Linked DNA regions of Daphnia pulex. The main gene of each other region encodes a partner of the protein of the gene in region 3 in a complex. Links are inferred from orthologs where the notes say so. Each region holds a gene or a part of one and is shown on either strand. Other genes may lie near its edges.

Region 1 (3,186 bases), on a different chromosome or scaffold from region 3:
TGAGTGACGTCATGTTAAAAAAAGGCGAAGTAGCAGCTTCGCTTAGCTGGGAAGAGCTAATGAGCCGCTGTCAAGCTAAACTTTCAACAGTTTATGAAATGATCTTCCCAAACCAGTCGGCTCCCGTCATCGTGAAAGGAGAGTTGGAGCCAGTCGAGATTACCACGGCATCGAGAGCTGGCAACAAGAAGGTCACCCTCATCAGTGGCCTTGAGACGTACAGGATCGACTTGGACGAATTTGCTCGAAGGTACCAATGGTCTCACATTCTTTAGGTGAAGGGGTCTCTTAAAAGTAAGCGAATTTCTCTTGTCTGTTTGAATAGGTGCCAAGTAGGCGTGGCGGCTAGCACAACAATAACCAGCTCTCCAGCTAAAAAGGGTCAATTGGTGTTGGTACAGGGTAACCAAATTAGTTTTGTCGGAAATTTGCTCATCGATGAATACGGAATTCCCAAGTAATTTTTTTAAAACTAAATAATAAAATAATAGAAATAAATATTAACTTTACAAAATTTTATCTTTTTTCTAACAGGCAATTTATCCAAGGATTCGACTTAAAAAAAGCCAAAAATAAAAAATAATTTTTGCGAAATTGTATAAGAGAATGGAATCCGAAATAAACAACACGGAAAGATGGTGCCTGTTTAATATACAACCGACTATTTTCCAGGTTTCCGTTTTTCTTGCAATTTTGTGGCAGCCCGTTTCTTAATGTTCTGCAGTCGTTTATCGGCGTTAATGAGGGATGTGTTGCCAATAGTATTTCCAGATGAAGAATTGCTACTGCTGCTCGATGAGCTTGTTGACTTACTTGAAGCACCGCTGCCGCCATTTGGCTTCTGGGGCAAGGTTTGCTGTTTGCTGAAGTTAACTACCAGGCCGGCTGAGCTTTTGCCACTCACGGAACTCGGAGAGTCAGATCGACTTTTATAGAAAGTGATGGGACTTTCCCTACTGCTACTTGATTTAGGTCGACTAGCGGTCTTTTTCATTGACTTGCTACAATCGGAACAGAAAAAGACGGATCGAGGATCGTTAACTTCGGCGTCGCTAATATTCGGTTGGTGGCATTCCTGGTGATAAAGGCCGTGACATTCTTGGCACTCTACGAGCTGATTTCCAGAAGTAACATCCAGGCCACTGTTACGTAGAGAGAGGAAAAAGTTTGAATATTTTTATCACTATAACAAACAATAAGACTTACGTGCAAATAACACAGTGAAGATCCATAATTTCCTGAGCCAAGTCATCGGCGTCATTCAAAGAATCGAGGTCGTCGCTTTTTCGAGCCACACTTGGAGATCTCGAATTTCGTGGTGAACTAGGAAAATATAATTTTAAAAATAAAATTAATAAATAAGAAATCAAATGGAAAACACCTCCCAGCTGGTGAGCCAGGCTGTGAAGAACGAGGGGAATCTTTGAATTTCTTTGGAACAACTTCATCATCATTGAACATGTTATCATGTTTTCGCTTAGATTCCTTGTTTTTCTCAAGAACACTGTAATACAAGACTTAGTTAACTAGTATAAAGTTTATCCAAAACTGTGGATACATACCTAGAAGATGGAGATGAAGGTTGTGAAGATCGAGGAGATTCCTTCCTTCTTTTACTGAGAGGAACATCTTCATCAATGAAGAAGTCACTTTTCTTCTTTGTTTCCTGTAATGCAAGAGATTTAATCACAACAGCATAAAAAAAGTAAAAATATATTACCCTTTTGATCATCGTCAAAGGTGGTGGCAACTTGCTGACAGAAGAGTTGGTTTCATTCTTTAATCTTATGGCTTCATCCAACATAGATTTCAATTGGTCACCAGAATCTTTAGCACTAGAATGCAAAAGACTGATAGCTTTAATTAAATATGGTTCAATAAGACCATCCATTATCAAACTTAGAATTTAAAATATTAATAATAGTAAATATTTGTAATGAGTTCTTGGAGCTATTTTCAAAGCAAACCATTCACGACAGCACTTCTGTCCGAATCAACATCAACTTCAAAATAAATGTGAAGAAGGAAATGGCCCTCTGGTGGCAGATTCAATAAATTGTGCAATTTTATTTTCAACACTTTCTTTTTATTAATGAACAAAAAGTATGCAAATTTTGACACCAAATTTAATTAGCGCGCAATGTGATGTCTTATTTTTAAAAAAGAAAGAAATTCGGAGTTTTATCAAGAATTCTATAAATAGCGATAAGACTCAGCGATGACACCTAGCGGTAGTTTGCTAACGACGGCTTAGATAGATTTGTGAGTCTAGCCAGAAAGACATTCATATTCTGCTTCTGCACAGACGGACTCGCTGTTGCTGGTTTGGTTTTAGCTTTCGACGAGTTATTTTTTAACACAAATTTTTAGGATCAAGATAGCCGTTGTTCTTCTCTCTGTGATTACCTCACAACGAAAAGGAGATGTGTAGTTGATTTGGTGATTATAGAATCCGTTTGAACGATCGAAAGGTTACTAGTTATATCACGTCTCCTGTGATGATTACATATCAAAGTGATGTTATATGTGCTGTATGAGGTTCAGTGAGGATGTGAGGCCTGTTGGACACGGTTGTCGATTGTTTTCAAGTCGAGATAAAAGACATTTAGTCACCTCACAAAAGGGTGTGAGGGGATTTTCTAATTGACGAACAAATTCTTGGATTGTGCAAGCTTCCACCCCATTTCGCTTGCTGCCATGTCTACATTTGAGCCAGCCGACAGGAACAGGTAAATCATTTAAATTCCTTTTTAATCTCTAACAGGTCATTTGTTTCATTCCTTCATCAGCCAGAAGTTGGTGTGAATTTCTCAGGAAATTGCTGTTTGTTTGTGTTGGCTGCAACCACCAGATAACTTCTAGCTTCTAAATTTAGGTTTCAAGTAAAACCCCCCAGCCAGACGGTAAAGAAAAAAAAGGAAGATTGTTTAGAAATGAGAGAATCAGTGATGCATCCTGCATCCTCGATTTAGAAAGTCTCTCATATTGCCAATGTCCTTATTCTCTCTCTCAATTAAATGACTGATTCCTGACAGATGATGATCATGAAGATTAACTCCTCTACTGCCTTTTTCTCTACATCCTGCTGGTCGGTCCCCTCTCTCCCGTATATCCGGAGAGTCATCTAAGATAGGCCATGGATTTTCCGAGGGGTGGGCGTCGTGATAAATATTTAGATGTTGTATG
Region 2 (4,093 bases), on a different chromosome or scaffold from region 3:
TATAAGAGAAAAATTCGAATGTATTTATGGTGATGTTCACAAACAAGGTAGACATTGTAGCAAAATATCCCTCAAAGTTCTCCGTAGCGCTTCATCATGGCAGTAAACATGAGTGTTGGAACCTTCCAGTTGAATCACAGTGTCCTCTCTTGGCTAAAAGACAAAATTGGAAAGACAAGTTATTACGACTCTTGAAATGACAAAATGATATACGGGGTAGTACCAAGTGAATGACGACGCCTCGAGGAGTGTCTTCGACCCGAGCATCTAGCAAACCATGTTGACTGAGCAAATGCAACAGTTGAGTTGTGTCAACAGAGCCCCAAGGATGGCGAGGCAGCATTCTCTCCGACGCACTGTACAATGTGCCTCCTTCCTCTTCGTTTAATACCTAGATTTGAAAATAGTAAAAAGCTATGAGACACTGTCACAAGTTAGGAGAACAAAGGACTCACTTTCAGAGTAAATTTATTGTCACGAGCATCCAATTTTCCAGTCAGAGTAGAAGCTGAAAGGCCCGTTTTAAATTGGATGGGTTCGAGACGAGAGGCCAGGGCCGGATCAAGATGCACTTTTTCCTGCTTCCTCTTAATTGGTAACTGTAACACCTGGTAGGACTTCATACCCAATGCTGGTGGATCCAATTCTAAAAAAAAAGAAAGAATAAGGTTAACTGACTGGCCAACTAGATCCAGTTCAACAGGAATCGATCGAAGACTTACCCTGAATAACCAAGTCTGATCTTAAGGGAGCCGACACTGGCGGGTGGAGGTAAACGTCTGGAACGAGTAAGTTTCCTGGCTTGAGATCGCGTATCAGTTTATTGGCTTGAGTGAAGCTCAAACTCGTGTCAATGGGACAGTGAACGATTTTCATGGTCAGTGGTTGATAGGGGGCCAGCGCTTCCAGGTAAGGGAAATCGGGTTCAACGAAGACGATACTGTGGTTGCTATGACTGCCCCATAACTCTATGAAGTGAACTACATTGCCAAAACGAAGGGAAGGATGACCGCAAAATACGACACATGGCTGTCTGTACTCGTTGGTGAATCCTTCGGCATGCAGGCTTGGGAAGTGTTTCAGTCGACCATTTTTGATGAGATGGGCGTGAGGAAATGGTTCTTCTGGGAGATAAACTTTGCTCTGCTTGCCTGAAGATAACCTATATGAAATGAGGATGATAAGTTGACTAAACATTTTCGGAAAAATAATAAATGTGACAAGCCGAACCATTCAGCGAAGATGTTGGAATAAGCCAAGGAAGTTTCGGCCACGGGAGAGAAGAAAAACAGCGGAATCTGACTAAGACCAATATTGTCTAAATGAACTGAGAGACATTCGAACAGATCGTAAAGAAGGCCGGAAGGGTGACATGGGACTAGGCAAGATCCGCCCGATCGTAACGTGGATGCTGCAAAAGGTTTAAGGAAACATTGTTAGTTTTTTTCTAATGTAATTTAATAGAATTTTACTATTTGAATTACCAACTGCCATGCAGAATTCGCCCAACATTGAATCTGGATTGGCCACGGGGGTCTGAGTCAACGCTGTCAAGATCAAGAGATCGGCATTTCTAAGGGCAACTTGATCCATCGGCCTGTATATGGAAAAAATGGTATAAAATTAATTTGTTAAAAAAGTAACACTAATTAAGCTTATAGAACCTTGGGTGGGTCGTGAGAGTAGATGAAGCGCTCACGTACGCAATCTTCTCATAGCCGGAATGAATGATCCAATTGCAACTACCAAGGGAATATCCAGAACTGACGGCCATCACAGTTAAAGCACCACAGATATCCTAAAAGTTGTCGGTTAATATTGTTTCATAAGAATTTTTTAAAAATCCGAAAAAGGACGTACAATTTTTTCGTTGAAGCCAACCATGCGAACTTTTGCCAGGGCTGCATTGATGGCTTTTGTGGAATAGACTTTCTTCCAATCATTTGGTCTCAGAGCCCCACTGAGAGGAGGAGGAAGAGACTGGAGTACTTGCTTCCATCTGTTTGCTCGCTGATTTTTGGGAGTCCTTTCCAAGTAGTTGACCAGTTCTTCCATGTAGAGCCTACGACAAAGAATACAATATAGTCTCAATATTGTGTGACAACAATTGCAGGTTGCATACCTTCCAATCTGCAAGGTGGGTTCAGTTGCATATACCCTCCCTTTAAAGCCAGTTTCTTCAGTGATGAATGGCAGGGCCAGCATGCAGGCATGATTCGATAGCAAGATGGTATCCACATCAGAGATGTCAAAAATGTCTGACTGAGGGGGCAGTATCTCTATTGGGCCATCCACCAACACTCGATTTTCACATTCTTTCAGTTCCTATACAGGATAAATGAACATTTGAAATGACACGAAGATAGAGAAGAGATCAAATCTAACTCACTCCATCAAGAAGTGCAGCATCCTGTGTGTCTCTCGGGATCCAGTTTGGTAAATTTGAGAGCCTTTTGCTGGCAACGAGAGGCAGAGGTAGAAAATGAAGGGCCGAGTTGATATCCAGCCCACAATCGAGCATCAGCGAAACGCCTTTGAAATTCAAGATGTTGCAGGGTTTATTTGGGTTGGCGCCCAGACTGTACTATGTAAACAGAAACTGTGTTTATCAGACCGCTCCATTTCGGTGAAAGGAAAATATTAAAATGCTTACGATTTTCATGTTGTGGGCGCGTTTTATCTGAAAAGTGACAAGAAAGAATTTTTATTTCAAACTCGGTATATGACAGACAGATCCAGACTTGTTTGTTTGTCCGGTTCGTACTTACTACACGAGCTGCTAGCAGACTAACATTTGAAAACCCAATGCAGCGTTGTCATTTTTCAACTTGAAAAGATAGGTTCATTTTATTTTATTATTTTATTTTTTTAAATAAGAGCGCCGGAACGCGAAAGAAATAAATCTAGAATAAAAATTGAAATCTGAATCACATATTCGCTTTTGAGAATGTGTATTGAATAACGCCATCGGATACGCAACAAACAAGCGAAACAAAAGAAGCTACAAAGTTACACACATTTTGTCAATGATTAAGAACGAAAGAATATTATATCACTCTATACAGTTTTGTTGGTTGTCAAAAAAAAAAAATTCGTCCATTTCGTCGATTGTGTTGCAAGACACGCCCTTATCAGTTCTCCGTCCAGTAGGGTGTTCAACTAAATCTTGGTGCAACCAAGAAAAAGGAACTTTCCAAAAAATCTAACCGGACTGGTGAATGATAAGGCCAAGTCATTGAACCATTTTCTCCACAGCGAGAGATGATACGTGATGCTCCTTCAGCTTCCGGTGTCGAAATGCCTCCTATATATATTTGATGCCCCTGCAACAACAGAAGAAAAAAAACACACACACAATAAAAAGAATCCAATAAGCAAGACCCAAGCAAGAAAATGAAGAAAACAACATGGTCGATGATCGGCTTGGCCTCTGTGTTTGGTCGGGAGTCTGCTGTGTGTCTGTGTGAGAAGAGAGAAATAAGAGCAGACACGGTTACTAAGGGGGAGAGAAAGGGAAATGAAATACGATGGGGGGGAACACAACACACACATCACAAATGGGTGTCGGAGACGACCAACGACTATACCCAAAGAGGGGAGAGCATTTTTCCTCTGTATATATATATATATACGTGAGCAAAAAGGAGAGAGTGAACGGTCTTTTACAAAATGGGAAACATCTGCCCGGCTGCTGGCCCTTTTCCCATATCAAAAAGGAAAGAAAAGAATGAAAAAGAGAAGCTTTTGTGTGTGTGTTTGATATATACCATGGGGTAGGTGGTAGTAGTAGTACAGTAGTGTAGTTGGGAAATCAAAAGAGCTCAGGGGCCTCCCCCCTTATTCACCAGAAATGAAAAAAGAGAAAAAAATGTCGATACTCTGCTGGGTCGGTTGAGTGATCTATCGAGAGAAGAAGAAAAATGTGTGTTCCAACACACGATAGCTGCTGCTGCTAAAGGCTCTTACAAGAAATTGAAGCCGGAGCAATGTGAGATGTGTCTCTCAACACTCGAAGAGAGAAAGAAGAGGAAGCAGCAGCAGCTTGCTTACGACGTGTTTGTTGTGTGTGACCTCGTCTGACCGTTTTAACCAT
Region 3 (4,147 bases):
CAATCTGCATTTTAAAATATAAGTGAATTTTACTGTTTAATTAAATTATACAGAAAACATAATGTTTTTTTACCTTCTAGAAAACACACAATCACTGACATTTCTTTCGATGGTTCCAGGCTGAGAGTACTCTTGGAATCACAACCAGCAGCGGAACAAAGCAGGGGACAGAGACTTCTGTATAATTTCATAAAATTTACATTAAATGTGCAATAAAAAAATTTCTATTTCTAAATTTACAACATTGCTTCACCATACTCTCTATCACTGTGCTCTGATAAAATCACGATTCACGATGGCAATTATGGAAAAAGTTCAGTGCTTCCACTTTCAAATCGCTGAAGCTTGTTCCAATTCCCCAGACGACAATGTTGTCATGAGGTTAGAGTTCTTGACACCGAAACGTATTGGAACAGAGTGCTGTCTTTAAAGATCGACGGGAAGCCTAGATTTCCCAATCTCAGCATTTGTATTGACTTTCTGTTTTCCATGCCGTTCAGCAATGTTATAGCTGAACGGGAATTTAGTGCTTTTAAACTGATCAAAACGGACCATCGTAATCCGCTTCACAATCTAACTGTTTGTTCTCTCCTTCGAATCAAGCATTGGGGGTCTTACGAAGATCATTCTGCTTCTAGTGTCCTTATCCCTAAAACACTTGTCGATAAAGTTAAGTCCGTTAAGGCTAATGTCTCCATTGCAAATGGAATGTTGAGGGGTCGCAATACCAATAACAACCGTCAGGGTAAGCCGATGACTGATGGAGTCGCATAGGGTGGCCACAATTATGGAAAGACGGACTTCAAATACATAAAAACACTAAAAAGGCTCTCAGGTACCGCAAAATAAAATAGGGGTGATCCCTCAAGGGACGAGGGGTGGGCTCAGGGGTGCGCAAAGGGGCGGCCAAGGACGCTACGGAAGCCCGGTAAACCAAAAACTTTAAAGTCGATTTACTCAGGGATGCGTTCATTTGCACAAACTTTCCCATATACCATTCGAATCGGCTTAACGAGCTCTATCGAATGGCATTAAGTTTGATTATTATTATTATTATTATTGGAGATTCCGTGCCACTCTAGGCCACTGCCGGGTTTTTAACCTTTTATATGTTCTTACCGTTAACTTCCAACAACCTCCCAAAAAATGTGAAAACTTTTTCAATGTGAGAATGTTATTCGGAAATGTCCAGTCAAACACTTGTCAAAAAGCAATAAAGAAATTCGTTTTGTTTTTTCAATTTCTTTTCTTTTTCTTTTTTTTTCATTGAAATGAACAGGGTTTTTTGGGGGGGTTTTCCCTCGAAAACAGAAAACTTTAAATAAGGTTTTCTGGCAACGCCACGGCGTATCCCAGAAACAACAGAAGTGGAAGCACTGGAAAAGTTACTGTTTAGCACATACTAAATGTGGCAGACAGGGAGACAGCCACAGCTGTAAATCATACATTGTTTACAAAATTTACAAGAAGTAAGAAACGAAATATTCCAAAAAGACAAAAAAAAGTGCCGCTGCTTGCTGATCGAAATCTGTAGAACAGAGAACAAAATCAAATAGCCTACTATGGCGGTATTGAAAAAAAGAGCTTTAGCTGAATATAGTCAAGTTGTACAGGTACAAGCAGAAGCAAATGAATAATTTGAATATACATTTGTAATCTATATTTAAACTAAATGTTTAGGAGGAAGCATGTAGTAAGCCTTTACAGTTAATGAAGAAACCTCACCTTTCAAGTGCAGTAGAGGATGAACATGTAACCGTCAATACATTTGAAAAACTAGAAACAAGTGAAGCATTGGTGGCCTATTTAAACCATATCCAGCTCAATCTTTCATTCCAAGTAAGATTAAAGACTGTTAGAAGATATGTTTATGTGTTGTTTTTACTTTACTGTAGGTCATACAAATATTGCCGTCATCACTAATCAAATTGTTTTAATTTATTTCATTCTTTAGACTGATGACAAAGTTGTTCTTTTGAGAAAGCTTATTGACACTTACCATCATAGTGAACAGTCTTATGTACGCCTGAAAATTGTTTGCATTTTAGGTGACTTTAGGAAAGTTCCAAAATTTGATGTTCAGGTAATATGCTTTGTTAAATAAATTTCCATTATTTGTTTGTGATGCATTATTTGTTTTTTTATTATAGATTATAATCAATGAAATAATAAAACTTATTTCAACTGAGACTTCACATAAAGTATGTGCTTCAATGATATGCACATTGAAAAAGGTATCTATATAACAACTAGTCGTAATATACTATAACTGTTACCTAGATAATAATTAATTGTCTGTGATTTTTTTGTGTTACAAATAGCTAGGCAGTTTGCTTTCATCTGATAGCCCAGTGCTTGGAAAAATTATTGCCATTGGCACTAAGGTATGTAGGCTATCAGCTTAACATTTAAGCATTTTATCAGTCTATATATTATTGTAATATATTTAAATGAATTTGCAGTTACTTAACAATTCCAATCACCTGGTGAAATGCCACTGTCTTTCTTTACTTGGAGGCTTGAGAAGTCTTAATAATCTTCAAGGTGAAAATGTAAAACTCATCTGTAAATTTACGAAATCTCAAGATCCTCGAGTGCGTACGGCTGCTTATGATGCACTGGTAAGAATATCCTATTTGTACTCTTTTTTTCTATCACTATTCTCTTCAATGACTCCGCTTCTTTATACATCAATATATATTGGTCTTATTATTATTTATATAGCTCCAATTGCATGACCGGGGGCAAAAATTAGAGCTGTGCATATATTCAGATGTGTGCTCAGCCTTACAAGATGACAACGAAAATGTGAGACAGTCAGCAATGCGAATTATCTGGGTTTTATCTCATACATATCCTGAAAGGTAAAACCAATGCTCTGAATATTTAAAGCAAAACTCAATAACTAATAATAATTTTTTCTGTAGTTGCGTTGTTATTCCTGGATGCCAAGATGAAGTGCACTTAGTCGATGATGCTTTCGCTAAGATTTGTCAAGCTATAGGTGATTTATCAGTTAATGTAAGAACATTAGCTGCAGAGTTACTAGGATCCATGGTCAATGTAAATCCACATTTCTTGGAACAAACCTTGGACAAAAAGTTGATGTCTGATATGAGGGTACATATTTATCGACTTTTTTTTACATATACACTCGACTTTTCTTATTATGAGCGAGTAATTTTAAAATTTATTTTTATTATTATTAATTTTGTTTTTTCTCCCAAAATAGCGCAAACGATCCGCCCACGAAAGGCATTGGGAAACTGTTACATCAGGAGAATGGGCTAGTGGTGCACGTTGGGCAGATGATAAACCTAGAGAAAATTTAGATGCCGAATCCGTTTCTCTTATACATAGTGGGGCTTGTGGAGCATTCGTTCATGGTCTCGAAGATGAGTTTATGGGTAAATGTGATTTTATATTCCCCCTGCTTTTGATTAATTCGACTTCAGTTCATTCAAATATTATCCTCTACAAACCTTAACCCTTTCAAATGGTGTTTATCTTACTTTATAGAGGTTCGAAGTGCTTCTCTCGATTCGCTATGCCAATTGGCGCTTTCCAATCCAAGGTTTGCAACACTTTCTTTGGATTTCCTTGTAGAGTAAGTAATGCATTAAAATGCTGTTGTATTATGCTTGATCATTTAATAATTTTCCGGCACCCGGCAGTATGTTTAATGACGAGATTGAGGAGGTGCGTCTGAAAGCCATAGACTGTATGACCAAGATTAGCCAACTTATTGTGTTACGTGAAGATCAATTGGAAATCATCCTAGGAGTGCTGGAGGTATGGCGTATCTATTTTTTAGTACAAAATTCAGAGTTACTTTATTAAAAGTTGCAAATCGTAGGATTCTAATGTTGAAATCCGCGAAGGATTACATCGAATGTTGGGAGCGTGTCGTCTCTCTACAAAGGCTTGTCTTAAGCTGTGTGTTCAGGCTTTGCTTGATAATCTAAAACGTTATTCTCAAGTATGTTTTCTGAATGCTTCGCCTAATTGAAGGTATCTCATGCGTAATTTAAAATCTGTTTAGGATAAACGTTCGATATGGCGTTGTCTGCAGTTGCTAGGACCCCGCCATCCAGATTTGACACTTCTCCTTGTTCCTGAATTATTAACCGTTCACCCTTTTTTTGAT
Region 4 (3,960 bases), on a different chromosome or scaffold from region 3:
GGGAATTTCAGAAGCCAATCTTATCATAATGGGTCGATCCGACTCGAGTGGCCAACCGTCTTTATTGTAATAATGCTCTCCACTTTCCATAAACAAAACCTAAAATAAAGTTGTAGGTTAAGATTTAATGAACTATTAATTGAACGTTACAACACTTACTTTACGGAGACAGTGCATATAATCGACCCGATTGGGCTCAAACACGGACGGGATGGACGTTCTTAACCAGCTGATCGATTCTCTTTGGACGGCCGATGCTTGGACGTGAAACTGTCGGAAAAGTTCCATCTCTCTCAAATCTCCACGGGCGACCAAAGATGCTGATTCACGCACACCTGGACTTATGGCAAGGAAAATGCATAAAGTCGTCAAGTCTGCCAATGAATTCAAAAGCCGATCCTGGTATCAAAAGTCATTATATTATTTCGTATTGCTACTAACATGGTTTTTTTTAAATACTACCGAACCTTGAATTCGAATTCTCTGATTGCAACTTTGCGTCTCTCTTGCATACAACCGTGTAAAAGAGCTGCACAAAATGTCGGTAAAGGTAAGTCGTGGCGGAGAGCGCGAACCACTTCACGTAATAGTGCTCTAAAAACATATAACATTAATTATACCCAGTCCACGTCTGTGAATTGCAAATGCAAAATACCTGAGTGCCCGAAGGTAATCGTCACGATTGAGTAGAAGTTCCATAAAAACGTCCGCTAAAATTGTGGCAGCACGATCAGGCCACGGTTGGACCAAAACAGCCAGTACTGCCATGTTATTCGGTCCTCGAGAAGGGGAGAGCTCATTGAATATTAACAACCGCACAATGAGTGGAAGCTGGTCCACCTGCTGCTCGACCAATTCTTTAAAACAAGTTAGATATGTCTGGAGCAGCGGTTTACTCTGAAAATCAAAAGAAGAAAGTATTACTATTTTTGTTCTGAAATTAAAACAAAAACATTGACGTTATTACTACCTTTAATCTCAAACGTAGAAGAGCATTTAGAACATCTGTGTCTGTAGGAGCTTCGGTACTGCAATTGACGCAGATCGAGAGGAGGAGGTCGGTGGCTGGTCTCACAAGTTTTTGATTGGAAAGCCACATTTCCAATCGCTGGGCAGCTTGAGTTCTTACAGCGGGCAAACCAGCTGTTGATGTCAAAAACTTTAAGAAGTTCCTTGTAGTGAGGTCAGATGCCGGTTGCTGCCGTCTGAGAAACCATTGATTATATTACCCTAACCTTAATGCAACTCAAATATTTTAATACCTGCTTAAATGTTGATTTACTATTTCCATGACAAGTGCTTCTGCCATGTCTTTGAGATGTTGAAATCGAGGAATAACTCGAACCTAAGAAAAAGGTAACAATGAAAATACAACTATGTGCATAATTTAAATCCCACTTGTTACCTGTTGCTGATCGAGATGAGTTGAACCTCGAAGCAGCCCACCCTGACTGTTATCTGAATCCACGCTGGCATCATCTTCAAGACCAGTGGTGCCAAGAGAAGTTATACTAGGAGAACTAGCAGCACCAGAAGATCCAAGTCCAGTGCCAGTAGCACTTTCTTGTTGAAGGATGTTCCTTGAAGGGACTTTGGTGTTGAATGCCGTTAGGATATTCTCGACAAACCCTTGACATTCTTCGCGATCTACCCAAACTCGTTCTCCAACGGAATCTTCGACAAAAACTTTCAAGAAAGATTCTGGCCATTCCGTTGAATCTTCTAGACCGGCTAACAACAAATTGCAAGCCAGTGAAGCTGCAGAAGCAGTTGTCCTTCCTTTAAAAGGACCAATACTGGCGGTAACGTCTCGTTTGAGTAATACCAATAAAGCTTCAACAATCAATTCGGTGTTGAAATATTGCGATCTCCATTTAGCTAAGTAGACAAGGGCTAGTGCAAGAATGGGTTCCACTTTATTCCGTTGACTCAGACTAAAGGCTTTCAGTTGCTTAACTGATCCACATAGGATTGCTTCAATTCTTTCTTCATCATCATTACTTTCAGCCTCTCCAATAGCATTCAACAACTCTGATGCTTCAATCTTGAATAAATTTTTATAAAGAAACATTATTTAAAGATAAATTGATAAAATCCAGAAGATTGAGTAACTCTACCTCTATAGCAGCTTCTTCCCATGGCTCTAGTCTGTTACCAGTCGAACCTGGACTGGGAGGATCAGCAGCCTTCAAAGCAGGTCTTCCCAATGCAGTAAAGGATGCAGTATTTGGGAGCCCAGGCTTTGCTTTCTTAGCTGGATTTTGAGATGAACCTGGCAGCTGGCTTGGTGCTTCCCGCTTTTTATCTGAAGGACCTACACAGTCATGAAACATATCATTCTTTAAGGCTAATGTACAGACTGAAAGAATAAATAATAATAGTAGCTGAACCGAGTTAAAAGAGATTGTTAAACAGGAATGTGGATAAGTTTAAAATTTTATAATCCATGTTCAAACTTAATTTATAAAAGGATATGATAAGCAAGTTATTGGTCAGGGTCAGGACCAGGGAAAGAAAGAATGGAAATAGAAATATTTTTGTTCTCATTTTACCCAAAGAAGGAAGTGGAGCAGGAGTGGGTTTTGATGGACCACCTGAAGAAGATCCTGATTTCTTTGCATCAACTGGTTCTGCTCGACTTTGCTTTGGTCCAAGAGCAATAAAATCACCAGAGAATCCAAGGGGTTTTGACTTGGAGTTTTTAGGCGGCAAATTCTTGCCCCGATCCATTATAACTACCGTCCAGCATTAACACCTCTTCGAAACTGATTTTGTTTTTGGTTGAGCCGAGTCTGCGAGTGTCTTCTGCAAGAAAGCGTGGTTGCATTTCTGTTTGTAAAGCGAATCGCATACGACATTTTCCTCCCCCCCCCCTCAACACGTCGTCTGCAGCAAATTGGCATATAATTAGTGATAGAGGCATCAAGCTTGTTGTGAAAACACATTCGTTAAGAAAAATGGAAGACGACGATGAAGTTGATGTTCTAGGGGATTTCTGTCTAAATCTTGAGTATGTACAAGCTTTTGTTTGCATGTTATTTGTACTAACTGACATTTGATCACAGGACGGATTTGAACCAATACGATGCCGGGGAGTTTCCTACACAGAATTCGGAATTATTGGGCGATTATATGCAACATCCTTGGCTTCTTGAAAGTTCACAAGTAAATTTTTATTCAAAGTGGTTTATATTTGGGTACAGCAAGATCTAACTTTCTCACAGGTTTGGAATATGCCAATGATGGATCATGCCAATGAAGATAAGAACAAAACACTTAATTGGGAGAATATGCTCCATGAAGAGAAAAAACACTTTTCAAACAGTTTACCCATGGCAAACCCTCCATCAACCACAACATCTGCTGTAGTTGCTTCAAAAGTGAGTCCTATGTGGACTAAAGATGATGTTGCATCTCTTCGTAAAGGAATTGTAAGTGTCGGAGTGGTTACTGATTATGGCAGGACTGTGTAACTTACTTGATACTTTTATTAAAGGGTCTACACAATCAAAATTGGAGCAAGGTTGCTAGAGCAGTTGGAACCAAGACTACTCTTCAAGTGAAAAGTTACATTAAATCACATCCAGAACTTATTACAAGTTCCTCAGTTCACATTTCCAATACCCCATCACCTCCTCAGTTCATCAATGAAGTGGAAGTTACAAACGAAGAACCAACCTTTCACTTTTCTATGGGTGACATTGTTTATGAAGCAGAAGTCCCTGCTGTATCCACAGAAGAAGTAATTGCTAGTGTGGCACCTACCAAGTGGGACTTGACTCCGACAAAAAATAGCAAAAAGACGAACCGTTCAAAACCAAAATCTCCTACAAAAGAAATAAGGTATGACAAATATTTAAACAATAACTGCCATTGATTCAATATAGATATTTTTAAAATTCTTTCTTTAGGCGGGTAAAAAATCCACTCTTAGTTAAGAAAGCGCCTGGAAGACCTAGG
Region 5 (3,996 bases), on a different chromosome or scaffold from region 3:
CGTCTGCCAGCTTTTTAAACGTTCTCGTTTTTTCTTTTAAATGTTTTTTTTTCCTCCATCGTTTGCAATTTTCTAAAAGACAATAAAGGTAAAAAAAAAATAATAATTAAAGATTTCAAAATAGTTGAATCCGAGCCGAAAGAGAGAAGAAACGAACAATTTAAGTACTAGGGAAATAAAGAAATGGAGAATGGCTACGTGAAAACTTTGTTGCGATTGCGGGCCCCTGTAAAGATATCAAGGAAGAGATTCAAGAATCATCAATCATTTTTCCCCCCTGCGTGTGAGTGAGCGTGTGTGAAAGCGTGTGCGTGAGTTAATGTACTGCTATCCCCCCTCCCCCCACATTTCTTTCTTGGCAACACACAACATCAACAATATGTAAAAGGATTGTGAAAACCTCTTTTACTTCCCCCTAATGGCTAAATATTACTTTCGCACGCCCTGCACTCCCACCCACCAACGCTCTTTCGGCTAATAATCACCTATTTTATTATTAACTGTATTCGTGTCAAAAGTCATGAAAGAAAATGTCGTCCCTTCGTTTTTTTTCCCCCTCTTGCTCGATTCCATAATTTCTTTTTGTTTTCTCTTTTGTGTTTGTGGGGTTTCATGATTTTCAATTTCAAATTTGCCGCGCACAGCAACGGTTTGCCTTTGCTTTTATTTTTCTCTCCCCCCCCCCCCTATTTTCTGTTGTTGATAGTCACGCCAATGTCCAGCCGAGGTGATTGTGTCCACTGCTGCTTCTTCCTACTCTCTTCTCTACTTCTTACAACCACATGGTAATTAATTTAAAATATTGATTGCGCTGATTTTTTTTTTAATTGGATGAGTTTCGTTTTTATACGTTCAAAGATTGTGTTTCCTTTCCGTCTTCAACTTTTGGATGCAATACCCTCCACATTTTGTAATCCATTACGTGAGAAGTGCGAGTTACAACATTGTAGCGCAAATAAATGAAAAGCAATGGGGAGAAACGTCTTTTTAAATCATTATAAGTTTATAACTTGCTATTATCATGTCCGTTGAGTGCAACATTAGTGCCCCTTGTAGCTTTGATCATCTTGTCATCTGCTCAGTCGGATGACGTGAGTCGTGAGCTATCCGAGCAATCCGGATTCGCCCTAATAAGGCGCCGTGTAAACTGTAGTTCCTACGTTTTGCCGCTAGAGGATCAGAATCAGTTTCGTCTGCTCGTTGCCTTGACAACACAATGGTTCACATGAAAATCAAGCTTGCTATGTAAACCACTCCATGGCGATTTGTTGATTGATTGTGGTCTTAAAAACACAATATTTTGCCAATAAAATGCCGATGCCACCGATTCGTTCCGTTTCGAAACGAAATGTTTCGCCTCGTGTGTTTCAAGCTCTACAGAATTTGGATGTAGATAACTTAGCGGAATGTAACGAAGAAGAAATTCGAGCTGTTATGCCATGTTTGGCTAGAATGAGTTTGATAGGCCCACTGGACCAATCTAGTGAATGCACCAAATCTCGAAGAATGGTCTTCCAAATATTATCCGGTCGTGAAATTGTCAATTCCATAGTTGGGTTACTTTCAATTGATTTCCATGCTCTTGAGGTTGACGTCAAGAAAGAACAAATGCTACGGTATTTTCTTTACTATTGTTATGACTACTTCTTTTATTTTTAATCAAAATTTGTATTGCAGTCAAAAGCTTGGTAATCAAACTGAAGACTCTGTCTTGATTCAGTCACTATCAAACAGTTATGCACTGGAATTTGAAAGGAGTGATCCAACGAGGAAATTAAGGCTGTTTCTCAGTGAGCTCCTCACACTCATGGCACAAGTAGATTCCTCATAAAGCATTCATTTTCCACAATATTATTGTTTCTTATTTTAATTTCTAGAGCAAAGAAATCAGACCAGAAACCACATACAAAAGCAGTGAACTGTTGGACCAGGAAATCTATTTTGATGAAGTAGCTGATGTGCTGTGTGTTGCTTTAGCAGAGCTGACAATTCTGCTACCTATAACAGAAGTTGCAGAAGCTCTCTTGAGAACACTTCACGGTCCATCTTTCATATGTCGAATAGTGGCTAATATGCCTGATACTTTCAATGAAGGTAATATTTTTCCAAAGTGTGGTTTGAACTATATTTTAGAAGTAGTTTGTTTCAAGTTTGCCAGAGTTTGATTAGCAATGGTGAAAGATATGAAGAAGAATCCTTCCTTGGACGGGCCAGATTAGAAACACTTAGATCCCTCTGCAGGATGTGCCCAAATCAGATTTTGATGATCCAACTTAAATGTGTAAGTTTTTTTATCTCTGACAAAGCTTTGTTCTCTTTAGTTTAAGGTTTTTTTCCCTATCAGGTGGAGATGTGCAGAATGCCGGCTCTGGCTGTTTTACTTAGTTTGGACTATGCATCCTGCCATAAAATGATCAAAACAGATAAAATTGAAACCCAGTTGGGAGATGTCGTACCGTTTATCTCTGGTCTACTTTTGGGTGGAGATGCAAATATCCGCACCTGGTTTTCTCTTTTCATTAGGAATGGACAAAAGGTTTAGCTTTCTTTAAATGTACTTTATGTTAGCCGTCAACGTATTTAACTCTATTTCCTTATTTTACAGCGACATGATCGTGCCACTGCGTTACATACTTTACGCCAAGAGCTACTGAGAAGTTTGCAGTCGTTTGTTCAAATGGCTGCTGATGAGCCGTTACCTGACCGTTGTGCTGTTGATGCGTCGGCCCTTTTACGACTGTATTGTGCTTTAAAAGTAATTCTATTCATTCCAATAATAGTATGTTAGATAGGGGTGTTGGAATTGAAAAACTAACCCTTTATTTCAATATTTGTAGGGTATAGCAGGAATGAAGTTGTACGACGAAGAAGGTGGGCTTTTATTGCAATTAATTACCTGTCGTCCACCGCCAACCGAAGCTGGCCTTCGTTTCGTTGCCCTGGGACTCTGCATGCTGATGGCTTGTCCATCTCTCATCGCCTTGCCCGACCAAGAACAAAGCGGTTTTCGATGGGTATAATCGCAAGTTATTCGTAATTAATATCAGTTGTTATATTTTGTGATTTTAGGTGAAATGGTTGGTGAGGGAAGAAAGCTACTTTGAAAAATCGCCAGCGACTTCCTCTGGCAAGTGCATGGAAACAGCGAGGAGCAGTTTTGGAGAGATGTTATTACTAATGGCTATCCACTTTCACAGTGGACAGTTGAGCGCAGTTTGCGACCTGGTCTGCTCAACGCTTGGCATGAGGCTTTTACTCCGGCCCGCTTCTACTGCTCGTATGAAGGTGGCATTTACTCAAGACATATTCCCAGAGCAGGTTTGAGCTTTGTTAACAAGTTTATTTGGTCAAAATCTTATCCTTTTAAATTCGAATGTTAGGTGGTGACATCTCACGCTGTCCGAGTGCCCGTCACTCCCGGTTTGAATGCAGACGTTGCAGGATTCCTTCCAGTTCACTGCATCTATCAGTTGTTGAAAAGCCGAGCTTTTAGTAAGCATCGCGTGCCGATCAAGACCTGGGTTTACCGCCAGCTTTGCGAGAGCCGTCCTCCATTGCATCCACTTCTTCCTAGTTTGGTCGAAGTTTATGTTAGCTCGATCCTGACGTTATCTCCATCGAAAAACCAACAGAATCAATCGGGCGTAGCTGGTTCCATTGACATTGGCCATGACCCAATCAGCGAAGAGGAAATTCGAGTTGTGTTCGCCAACAGTTTTTCCAGGAACGTTCGCCGAGCTAGCACAGACGGGCAGGAGCATTCCGTCACGGCCCAGCTTTTACTTTTATATTACGCTCTACTGTATGAGGATACTCGTCTGACTCAAGTCAAAAACTACTTGGTGGCTGGTATCAATATCAAATCCTATTCTCAGTCGTTCTTCGCCGATTTGCCTATTCGATATTTGATCAGTCAAGCGGAAAAAGAACAACACCTTTATGCGGGTAACATTTAAAAGCAAGATTGGCCATTTTCTCCAATCCGCATGTTAATCC
Region 6 (3,973 bases), on a different chromosome or scaffold from region 3:
GTTGGGATCCACAAGTATGTGAACATTAAGGAAATAATTTACACTCGGACAATCGGAAATATTCGTGAAAGTGATATTTAAAAAATTAATCATTTTTTTATCAATACATATTGAGGGTATTCATTTCATGAAAGGTAATTCACAGAGATTACGCGACCTTATCAAACAATGACTTGTCGTAGTGAAGACATAATCCACGTTGCTAAATCTTCGTCCTAGAAAATAATAGAAACTCAGTAACTTTATTAGGTTTTGTTTTTAAAAACAACAATTAACCTGCAAGGCCCAGGAGATCATCATGGATTTGCGATCTTCTTTGTCTGTCGTCTCCATTTTAATACTAACCGACTCCAAATTGAGTAACCCCTCGTCAGACGGTTTAACCGGGTAGTTAGTATTTTGTCTGTAAATTTAAACAAAAGATGCTCAAGTTATATTATCTTTAAAAAAAAGTATTGAGAATTCTTACGAATTCAAAATAAGCTGTATCTGATCCATAGCTCTAATAGCGGTTCCGGGTAATCTTAGTTGGATACAGGAAGTGAATCGGATAGAATGCCGGTTTAAACCTAGTTCACCGAATGCCTGCTCGGGTTCCATAAGCTTGAGAACCTATGGCCAAAACAATGAATAAAAATGTAGGCAGAAAGTATAGCTAAATCAAGTACACTTACGTTGTCTTTCATGACGAGCACACCATGCATACGGCAAGGTCGTTTCGGGTCTGGTGCGCCAACCGTATCATAGAGAGCCATTTCTTTTTTCAGCAATGAAAGTGATACATCGACAGGAACAACAGGTTTGCATGGAATGTACGCCGACTCCCCGTTTGCCGGCATGTAACAGTCGATACCGTACTCTTGTTGAATTTTCTGTTTCAAGAACTCCATTTTTACGCCCTCTCCGTGAACAAGGAGCACATTTTGAGGCTCGCAATATTGGATTAATTGCATGATACCCTTGGCGTCGGCATGAGCGCTAAATGACATGTACTGATAACAAATGAATGGGATTAATTGACAGATATTTGGCGTATTAGTGAATCCTAATAACTCACCTGAACAGACATTTTCACTTCGATAACTTGTCTGTTTTCAATTTCAACTTTTTTAGCACCACTGAGAACTTTGGCACCAACCGTTCCAGAGACACAGTAACCAGGCATAATTAACTACGTGGGGAAAAAAGGATTCCAGTTAGTTGAAATAATTGAAAATATACATTTGTATTATAATTTATCTCTTCCTACCATGTTATTTTCATTGGGTGCCCATTTTTTGAAGAGTTGCAAAGAAAGACCTGCGTGAAGCATCCCAGGAGTGGCGAAAACGACCATTGGACCAGGTGTATCGGCGTAACTTTTATCGAAAGGACGGATGTGTTTGAACTCGAACATGTTTCTTTGAACAAAAGTCTTGCGAATCTTTTGATTGGTCCAGGTGATGAACATTTTGTAGTAATTGTTGGCCTATGAAAAGGGAAAAAAGTTTAAGAGGATTCAAAAGATTAACTATTTCAATCGAAGTTACCTTTTCAGTGAGACCCACAGCAAAGTAGATTGGCGCTTTAAGATTCATTCGTTCCCAATAAGTTTCCAAAAGAATACAAAGTTCTTGAGCTCGACCAAGTGCAAACACGGGAATGAGAACTTTGCCTCCTCTGTCTACACAATCATGTACTTTCTTTAAGAAATCCCGCTCTCGACAGCGTTTAGAGTCACGGATAGTTGTAGCATAAGTGGATTCCGATATAAGTATGTTGGGTCGGCATTTGTCGATCCAGGCGGCACCCAAGTGTCGATCCGGAGTCATGTTATAATCTCCCTAATAGATATATTTTACAGGTATGCACAGAACCAAGATTTCCAATATTAACTTACAGTGTACACCACAGATTGGTTGCCTACTTTGACGTGAAACATGGCTGCACCCAACACATGACCAGCATAGTAAGCTTTTATTTCAATTTCTGAGTCTACCTATAACAAAAAAAAATTAATCAAGATATGAAAACCCTGGCTGAAGTAAATAATGGTATACTTGAACAGTTTGATGCAGAGTGACAGCAATAACCTTTTTCATGCAATCCTTGATGTGAGCTGAAGTGAAAAAATTGGTTTCACCCTTTCTCTCTACAGCCACTTTCCTCATGTCCTCCTGTTTGGCAAGTATAAATTATGCTGTAACATAATACCAATTTGTGAAATGTAAAAAGAATCTTACCAAAAGGATAGGAGCAATAGCCTTTGTTGGATGAGTCATGTAAATTGGGCCATTATATCCAACCATTTCAGTCATAAATGGTAAAGCCCCACAATGATCTAGATGGAAATGGGATATGATGACACAATCTAGGGATTCTGTCAAGTTTCCGTCAGCAATGTATGAAAAGTCTGGAAACCGTCGCTACAGAATAAAAGATTTGGGTAAGGACAAACAAAACTTTGATGTTTGAACAACCAAAACTAAACTTACCTCATCATTGTACCCCATATGCATGCCACAATCTAACATGATATTCTTTCCTCCCATTTGTAGTAAAATACAACTTCTCCCCACATCTTGTCCAGCCCCAAGTGGTGTTACTTTGATATCTGTCATAGCTGAATTCAATTGGCCTTTTTCAAACGACCAAAGCCTTAATTAATAGTTTACAATTGTCCTTCAAATTTTCCACAAACCTGATTCAAATTTATATCATCAACATTCAACAGCACTGCGTGAAAAAATTTCTTTTCTAAATGAAAATTGGAAATAAATATTGCCGGTTACTCTGTTGCCATATTTCAAGCTTTGATCACTTTTGGGGAAAATTCGGATTTTGGAATTCGGAATCGGAAGTCGAAAACTCGAAATTGAAAATGAAGACAAGCCAATTTTCTAATCTTATCCCATCTAATTAATGGAGCATTTATTAATGAGCGTCTAAATTGAGTTTAATACAACGTAACTCCCTTTTTCAATCGCAAATACTGCGCATACAGATACTAACTTACTAAGCCAGTTTATAAGCCACTAAAGGTCGATCCTGCGAGGAATCTATTCTAAAATCCTTTGTTCCGTAGGTGGGGCAACACGATTATTAAATTCATTTTGTTATGAAAACGACGGGGAATTCAAAAAATAATAAAAAAATGTTAATAAAAAAAATTTGAACGTGCCAGGGATCGAACCTGGAATCTCCTGCTCCGTAGGCAGGCGCCTTATCCATTGGGCCACACGTCCTGTACGCAAACGAGTATTTCTTAAAAGTACATAAAGATTAAAGTTCTGGCCTACCCAGGTACACAAAAACTTTTTAGTTTTTACTGGGTGGATTAAAAATTAAATTAGGGAACGACATTTGTTTGTGAATTTAGGTATGAAAGAACTTATGGAATTTGATCAATTGAGTGAGATGACGCATTTTGGTTTCGACGCTAGCAAACACGGGCGGGGTTATTTGAGGATATTGCAGATTGCTTAAATAATTTATCTACCAATATAGATTTCCCTGATGGATCACTGACGTTCATCCACCAAATTATTCATATCTGTGGTGAATCCATCACTGCAGCCAAATAAGGCAAATGTGTCCAAATTTGTTATGCCTCCGAATTCAATTATGGACAATTTTGGTCCACAACGAACTTCACTGCGCTTCACTGGCAGACGCTGACAGAGGTCTGACGGCCATCAAATATTTGCTGATTGATTTTTGAAATCTTCGAATAGAAAATTTGCTTCTTGTCTTGAAACCACCACAAACAGCGCGATGCACAATAGAGGGGACATGGGACCGATTGGATTCACATATTATTTCAGCGCTAATATACTATGCTATCCATCTGTGGAAGAAAGTTTAAGCTAAAAAATCCTATGATTTGGTTGAAATTTAAAATGTTACTCGCTTAAGTTAAAAAAAATATATTATTATTTTTTAGTTTAAGAAAAAAAAAACAGCAATCGTCGATCGTCGATTAGTAACAAAATAG
Region 7 (3,926 bases), on a different chromosome or scaffold from region 3:
ATAAGTTTCAAATCAGGGTTGCCATCGCGAAAACGTCTTACGAGATCGACGGCATCAGCGCATCGAGTGGCCATACTCCGCACAGCGACGTGATCCGCTTGAACCGTCTTGTTGATCATGGGCAAATCGTCTTCGACAGTCATCACGCCTTGCTGAGACGCCCGGAGGCAGGTGGACTCGACCGTCTGGGCCAAGATCAAGGCCATCTGCTTTTGTAGCTGCAAATTCGTGAGGCTCTCCTGGTCGGCGTCGAAGGCGCTTTGTCCCAGCTTGGACAGGGCTTCGGCCACCTGACGGAGCACCACCACCGACTTCCTCAGCTGGTGAGTAATTCGACCGCAGCGCTGCAGTTCGTCTCGGGTGGCAGCCGCTACGGCGTGAGCGATGGCCGGCGGTGGGGCTGTCTGAAGCGTTCGACAAGCCTGGACAAGTTGAGAGCACGCCGACAGGAATTCGACTCGCAACCGACCGAATTCGGCTTGAAACTGAAGAACGCGGGTCGGGCTGGTGGCTGCCTTCAGTGAAGACAATCCTTGCAGATAAAGCTTCGAGGCCAACACTAATCTTTCCATGAGAGAAACGGCTGCACCATCGGGGGGTCCAGTGCCGCAACTCAGGTGAGATTCGGCCAGGGTGAAATCGCGTAATCCCTGAATCCAAAAGTAGAGATGCTCCGTCGAAATGTGGCCCAACAAGCGATCCAGTATCTTGTGGGCAATCGAATGGTGGCCGTATCTAAACAACCAAATAAGAAATTAATTACCAACTAGATTGAAAACATTTAAAGCTCAAGGAATTATACCTTGTGGCAGAGCGGGCGATCCGGAAAGCCACCCACAAGTCGACCCGGAAGATGGCTTCGTGGACCACTTCGCTGGCCTGTTGAGACCAACAATGAGAGGCGTGCGTCTGGAACATGAGAACGCACAATAAAGGAATTGCCAACAACTCTTGATCGCTTTGAACGGTGAGTTTCTTTAGCATTGACATGATGTCGACCAATGCTGGTACAATGGCAGACGGTTGGGTGTCTCCGATGGCAGCCAGGGCCTGGCACAGCAGGACTAACGTGGAACCGGAAGATTGAAGCAAAAGGCGAGTGAGGCAATCAATGATGGTGGCGCTGATTTCTGGCCCGGCGACACGACTCAGCTGGACGGCTGATGTCAACGCAATCTTAAGTTCCCTCTCTTCGGTCTTTCCCGCCAAGCAGAGGCCCAATATGAGCGATTCGACAGCAAGGGCAGCGTCTTGGCTCAAATCGGGCACTGAAGAAGATAATATATCTTGTTTGCTAGATATAAATACTAGTTGGACAAGTAGCTGAACTGCTTTCGCTGCAACAGACCGGTCGCAACTATAGCAGCACTGATTCCAAATCAAGTGTAACTTTGTATCTAATAAAAATGCTTAATGAAATCGACAAAAAGGTATCTTGATTTTTAAAAACTGAATTACCAGCTTTGAGGATAAAACAGTTTGCAGCTTCAGCCATGGCTAGCGTGACTAGAACGTCCAGCGTTCTTCTCTGCAATTCGAGGTGAGGCTGATCTAGCAGTAGGTCAATGAGGCCATCCACGTTGGACGTAGTCCACAGATGAGCACCTTTGACAGCCAAAATTTTCAAGTCGGACAAAACTTGAGCCTGGACACCTCTCCTGGAATCGCACAAATATTCAAGAAGCAGGAGTAGCTGTTGAGGGATTTCGACCAGAGTTTCACTGGCCAGCAGCGTCAGTGTGTGCAGTGTCACACAGACGAAATTTTGGGCAGGGTAGCTGGGCAAGAGCTGTGCGCACAAACGTCGAACCATGGCGGCCGTGTGGGCATCATGGTGCATGTACTGCAAGATGGGGATGAGCTTGAGCTTGATATTTACAGGTGTGGCCAGTCCCTGAATCATCTCGGCAATTTTACTGCACATGTTGACGGAAAAGGTTCGAGACTGTGCGGCAAACTTGGATGCGGCGTAGATGGCTGCCTCTAACTCTACAGCATCGTGCGAGTCCAAACTGTCGCGAATGCTGTGATGCACTGATTTCCGATCAGAAATAATTATTGCCATACTCCCCAAAGTTCTCAGTGCCAGAGATCTTGCAATCTAACCATAAGAGAATTAATATTGATTGATTCAAAATGAGAATAATTTGCAAAATTACTGGATCATTTGAATGAATAACTGTGAATATTCTTTTGACAAATTCATCCACATTGAGGATCTTGTCTAGATGCTTTTCACTTTGCTGGCAGACTCTAAGAACACACAGTCTGGGGAAATTTGTTCTAAAGAAAGACGGAAACACAGATTGGATATTATAAACAAACATTAACACTTGTAAATTCATACCCTGTCCTGAAAACCTCTGCCAGCTTCAGTAATGCTGAATTTATCAGAATCGGAAATGGGTACTTTTCAAAGAGTCTAGGGAAACGAACAATGGCCTCACATTGTTCACCAATTCTCACAGAGCGTAACCCTGAAAATTTTTTAAAGATTTGGAAATTATCATCAGAAGCTTTAATAACATAAAAATAAAATTTCATTATGGAAATTGTCAGCTATAGCTATAGTAGGTTAAAACATGTAAACTACCTTTGTCTAGCTCTGTTAAAGCTGTGTTTGCATCTTGTTCTGGTTCTCCAAATAAATGTTCATTAAATGCGGTTCTCAAACCAACGGAAACCATTTTATCCTCGGTTAATAAATCTTGAATAAACTATCTTTTCCTTCGAATATTTTGAAGTTCAATGTTGTTGTCCCTCTTGACATCCTATCCCCTTTAAATTCCGGCAAAGTGCTAATCAGTAACCCCACGGCCCACACGCTCTCCTCTCTTCAAAGTTTCCATTTATGAATATATTGGAATTATTCGATTCCGATTGAAATAACATATACAAATAATGTTTAAATAAAAATTCTTAAATATTGCAAATCATATATTTTAGTTTTCAATTAAAATCATCTTTTAATTGCAAAGAAATTCCTAAAAATTGCCCCTTCTTTTGTGTTTAGGGATCGAGCATCAGGGGTTTCATCGGCAGTTGGCAGCTACTAGAGTTCCTCTTTCGGCAAAAAAATCGTTCGCAGCCAGCCATCATCGAAGGTGAAGTTTCCACATTTTTCAGTGTTACAATTAGAATAAAGTACTATTTCTTTATACAAATTAATCTAACATCTATAGCTGTAATTTTGTAGTTTTAAAAAGTTTTGCACATGGCGTCATTTTCATTAACTTTTGTCAATTCTTTACCAACATCGCTCTACATGTGACTTTCCCTAGCAATTGACAAGTCGTTAACGGTATCTTTTCTTTTCTTGTATATTTTCAGATGAAATCAGTCTCTGTCAAAGACGTCGATCAACACAAGTTTGTCAGGGCCTTGGCTGCCTTCTTTAAAAAGTGAGTTTAAAAGTCTGAAATCAAACTTTGCTTCTGAGTGTACTTATGTTGATGTTCGGGTTTATCAGGTCTGGCAAAGTGAAGGTACCAGAATGGGCTGACCTTGTTAAGACTGCCGTCTTCAAGGAGTTGGCACCTTTTGATGAAGATTGGTTCCTCATCCGTATGGCATCTCTGGCCAGGCACATCTACATCAGGTCTCCCATCGGAGTCAAGACCGTCAAGAGAATCTATGGAGGTATGATGGAAACCATCAAATATTTGAAAGAATTCTTTTGCTTAATGAGATATTATTTATGCAGGACACAAAAACAATGGTGTGAGGCCATCCCATTTCTGCGGCAGCTCCGGCTCAGTCGCCCGTAAGGTGTTGCAGGCCCTCGAAGCCATCAAGTTGGTGGAGAAGGACGCCAATGGTGGTCGCCGTCTCACCTCTCAAGGATTCCGCGATTTGGACAGAATTGCATCCCAGATCAAGTCGGCCAAGGCGTGAAATGTGAAAAAAGATCCAAACGTGTCATACCA

The links.
Region 1: integrator complex subunit 4-like (region 3) and integrator complex subunit 12-like share a complex: the UniProt entries of both Homo sapiens proteins name them as parts of the integrator complex. The link is inferred for Daphnia pulex from reciprocal best matches to the Homo sapiens genes INTS4 and INTS12.
Region 2: the proteins of integrator complex subunit 4-like (region 3) and integrator complex subunit 9-like are in contact, whole or in part, in a cryo-EM structure (PDB 8RC4), measured with the Homo sapiens proteins. The link is inferred for Daphnia pulex from reciprocal best matches to the Homo sapiens genes INTS4 and INTS9. Residues at the interface, in NP_291025.3 of Homo sapiens: Leu53, Gln54, Leu57, Gln58, Arg61, Lys62, Pro86, Ser87, Leu90, Lys91, Ser94, Gln125, Gln129, Asp132, His164, Gln207, Asp208, Pro209, Arg210, Arg212, Asp244, Tyr245, Glu246, Gln247, Trp296, Phe837, Gly840, Leu841, Val842, Val843; in NP_060720.2 of Homo sapiens: Lys2, Tyr4, Lys18, Ser21, Thr22, Leu43, Val44, Gln45, Glu87, Glu89, Leu90, Asp92, Asp97, Thr122, Glu145, Arg146, Val147, Pro148, Lys159, Glu174, Ser176, Thr177, Ser192, Gln195, Phe206, Gly207, Ile379, His380, Ser384, Asn385.
Region 4: integrator complex subunit 4-like (region 3) and integrator complex subunit 1-like share a complex: the UniProt entries of both Homo sapiens proteins name them as parts of the integrator complex. The link is inferred for Daphnia pulex from reciprocal best matches to the Homo sapiens genes INTS4 and INTS1.
Region 5: integrator complex subunit 4-like (region 3) and integrator complex subunit 2-like share a complex: the UniProt entries of both Homo sapiens proteins name them as parts of the integrator complex. The link is inferred for Daphnia pulex from reciprocal best matches to the Homo sapiens genes INTS4 and INTS2.
Region 6: the proteins of integrator complex subunit 4-like (region 3) and integrator complex subunit 11-like are in contact, whole or in part, in a cryo-EM structure (PDB 7BFP), measured with the Homo sapiens proteins. The link is inferred for Daphnia pulex from reciprocal best matches to the Homo sapiens genes INTS4 and INTS11. Residues at the interface, in NP_291025.3 of Homo sapiens: Leu159, Asp161, Thr162, Arg167, Tyr203, Gln207, Asp244, Ser292, Gly294, Trp296, Arg299, Lys323, Met326, Ser327, Asp328; in NP_060341.2 of Homo sapiens: Pro183, Trp191, Lys194, Asp212, Gln288, Gln400, Gln404, Lys462, Met465, Ala466, Leu469.
Region 7: the proteins of integrator complex subunit 4-like (region 3) and integrator complex subunit 7-like are in contact, whole or in part, in a cryo-EM structure (PDB 8RC4), measured with the Homo sapiens proteins. The link is inferred for Daphnia pulex from reciprocal best matches to the Homo sapiens genes INTS4 and INTS7. Residues at the interface, in NP_291025.3 of Homo sapiens: Glu536, Met539, Asp540, Arg571, His572, Ala574, Tyr575, Asp578, Ser579, Ser610, Phe613, Arg620, Leu624, Leu627, Gly631, Glu634, Leu635, Phe638, Arg641, Asp642, Arg645, Leu646, Glu648, Leu649, Gln650, Lys677, Leu678, Trp679, Asn680, Val681; in NP_056249.1 of Homo sapiens: Lys137, Asn138, His140, His141, Arg144, Gln145, Gly175, His205, His206, Asp207, Ala208, Ser244, Ser245, Leu246, Val247, Lys282, Thr283, Pro284, His285, Thr286, Thr321, Ile322, Lys325, His326, Gly686, Tyr689, Glu704, Gln707, Gln708, Leu711.

Annotation. Positions count from the first base shown.
Region 1 is NC_060026.1:13,198,591-13,201,776, forward strand, and holds integrator complex subunit 12-like, read right to left. Parts: upstream 2,014-3,186; 5' UTR 1,892-2,013; coding exon 1,721-1,891; intron 1,667-1,720; coding exon 1,563-1,666; intron 1,505-1,562; coding exon 1,382-1,504; intron 1,324-1,381; coding exon 1,207-1,323; intron 1,143-1,206; coding exon 662-1,142; 3' UTR 584-661; coding exon of another isoform or gene 535-583; 3' UTR 501-534; downstream 1-500. Other genes in the region: eukaryotic translation initiation factor 2D-like, read left to right, coding at 1-250, 326-457, 535-583; adapter molecule Crk-like, read left to right, coding at 2,698-2,729. UniProt on the Homo sapiens protein: Component of the integrator complex, a multiprotein complex that terminates RNA polymerase II (Pol II) transcription in the promoter-proximal region of genes.
Region 2 is NC_060027.1:3,457,078-3,461,170, forward strand, and holds the start of integrator complex subunit 9-like, read right to left. Parts: upstream 2,801-4,093; 5' UTR 2,663-2,800; coding exon 2,654-2,662; intron 2,585-2,653; coding exon 2,390-2,584; intron 2,326-2,389; coding exon 2,123-2,325; intron 2,063-2,122; coding exon 1,861-2,062; exon of another isoform or gene 1,799-1,860; coding exon 1,665-1,798; exon of another isoform or gene 1,598-1,664; coding exon 1,485-1,597; intron 1,421-1,484; exon of another isoform or gene 1,412-1,420; coding exon 1,231-1,411; intron 1,163-1,230; coding exon 723-1,162; intron 647-722; coding exon 456-646; intron 392-455; coding exon 224-391; intron 154-223; coding exon 37-153; 3' UTR 1-36. UniProt on the Homo sapiens protein: Component of the integrator complex, a multiprotein complex that terminates RNA polymerase II (Pol II) transcription in the promoter-proximal region of genes.
Region 3 is NC_060025.1:5,267,393-5,271,539, reverse strand, and holds the start of integrator complex subunit 4-like, read left to right. Parts: upstream 1-1,347; 5' UTR 1,348-1,562; coding exon 1,563-1,613; intron 1,614-1,680; coding exon 1,681-1,839; intron 1,840-1,954; coding exon 1,955-2,083; intron 2,084-2,150; coding exon 2,151-2,234; intron 2,235-2,321; coding exon 2,322-2,384; intron 2,385-2,462; coding exon 2,463-2,621; intron 2,622-2,724; coding exon 2,725-2,864; intron 2,865-2,927; coding exon 2,928-3,120; intron 3,121-3,232; coding exon 3,233-3,407; intron 3,408-3,519; coding exon 3,520-3,607; intron 3,608-3,674; coding exon 3,675-3,792; intron 3,793-3,856; coding exon 3,857-3,979; intron 3,980-4,042; coding exon 4,043-4,147. UniProt on the Homo sapiens protein: Component of the integrator complex, a multiprotein complex that terminates RNA polymerase II (Pol II) transcription in the promoter-proximal region of genes.
Region 4 is NC_060019.1:12,571,749-12,575,708, forward strand, and holds the start of integrator complex subunit 1-like, read right to left. Parts: upstream 2,801-3,960; 5' UTR 2,731-2,800; coding exon 2,553-2,730; intron 2,315-2,552; coding exon 2,118-2,314; intron 2,045-2,117; coding exon 1,406-2,044; intron 1,346-1,405; coding exon 1,263-1,345; intron 1,206-1,262; coding exon 971-1,205; intron 898-970; coding exon 656-897; intron 595-655; coding exon 468-594; intron 400-467; coding exon 160-399; intron 100-159; coding exon 1-99. Other genes in the region: histone H2A deubiquitinase MYSM1-like, read left to right, coding at 2,958-3,010, 3,066-3,165, 3,225-3,431, 3,497-3,843, 3,912-3,960. UniProt on the Homo sapiens protein: Component of the integrator complex, a multiprotein complex that terminates RNA polymerase II (Pol II) transcription in the promoter-proximal region of genes.
Region 5 is NC_060027.1:806,229-810,224, reverse strand, and holds the start of integrator complex subunit 2-like, read left to right. Parts: upstream 1-1,196; 5' UTR 1,197-1,311; coding exon 1,312-1,616; intron 1,617-1,677; coding exon 1,678-1,816; intron 1,817-1,877; coding exon 1,878-2,094; intron 2,095-2,150; coding exon 2,151-2,281; intron 2,282-2,344; coding exon 2,345-2,536; intron 2,537-2,605; coding exon 2,606-2,755; intron 2,756-2,837; coding exon 2,838-3,014; intron 3,015-3,069; coding exon 3,070-3,318; intron 3,319-3,380; coding exon 3,381-3,945; intron 3,946-3,996. UniProt on the Homo sapiens protein: Component of the integrator complex, a multiprotein complex that terminates RNA polymerase II (Pol II) transcription in the promoter-proximal region of genes.
Region 6 is NC_060018.1:12,410,290-12,414,262, forward strand, and holds integrator complex subunit 11-like, read right to left. Parts: upstream 2,801-3,973; 5' UTR 2,681-2,800; exon of another isoform or gene 2,618-2,680; 5' UTR 2,601-2,617; coding exon 2,475-2,600; intron 2,406-2,474; coding exon 2,223-2,405; intron 2,157-2,222; coding exon 2,040-2,156; intron 1,979-2,039; coding exon 1,880-1,978; intron 1,824-1,879; coding exon 1,530-1,823; intron 1,469-1,529; coding exon 1,250-1,468; intron 1,172-1,249; coding exon 1,058-1,171; intron 993-1,057; coding exon 675-992; intron 613-674; coding exon 470-612; intron 404-469; coding exon 277-403; intron 216-276; coding exon 162-215; 3' UTR 60-161; downstream 1-59.
Region 7 is NC_060021.1:1,404,129-1,408,054, reverse strand, and holds the start of integrator complex subunit 7-like, read right to left. Parts: upstream 2,801-3,926; 5' UTR 2,688-2,800; coding exon 2,594-2,687; intron 2,478-2,593; coding exon 2,348-2,477; intron 2,284-2,347; coding exon 2,160-2,283; intron 2,102-2,159; coding exon 1,459-2,101; intron 1,398-1,458; coding exon 803-1,397; intron 736-802; coding exon 1-735. Other genes in the region: 40S ribosomal protein S19-like, read left to right, coding at 3,331-3,401, 3,470-3,639, 3,704-3,894. UniProt on the Homo sapiens protein: Component of the integrator complex, a multiprotein complex that terminates RNA polymerase II (Pol II) transcription in the promoter-proximal region of genes.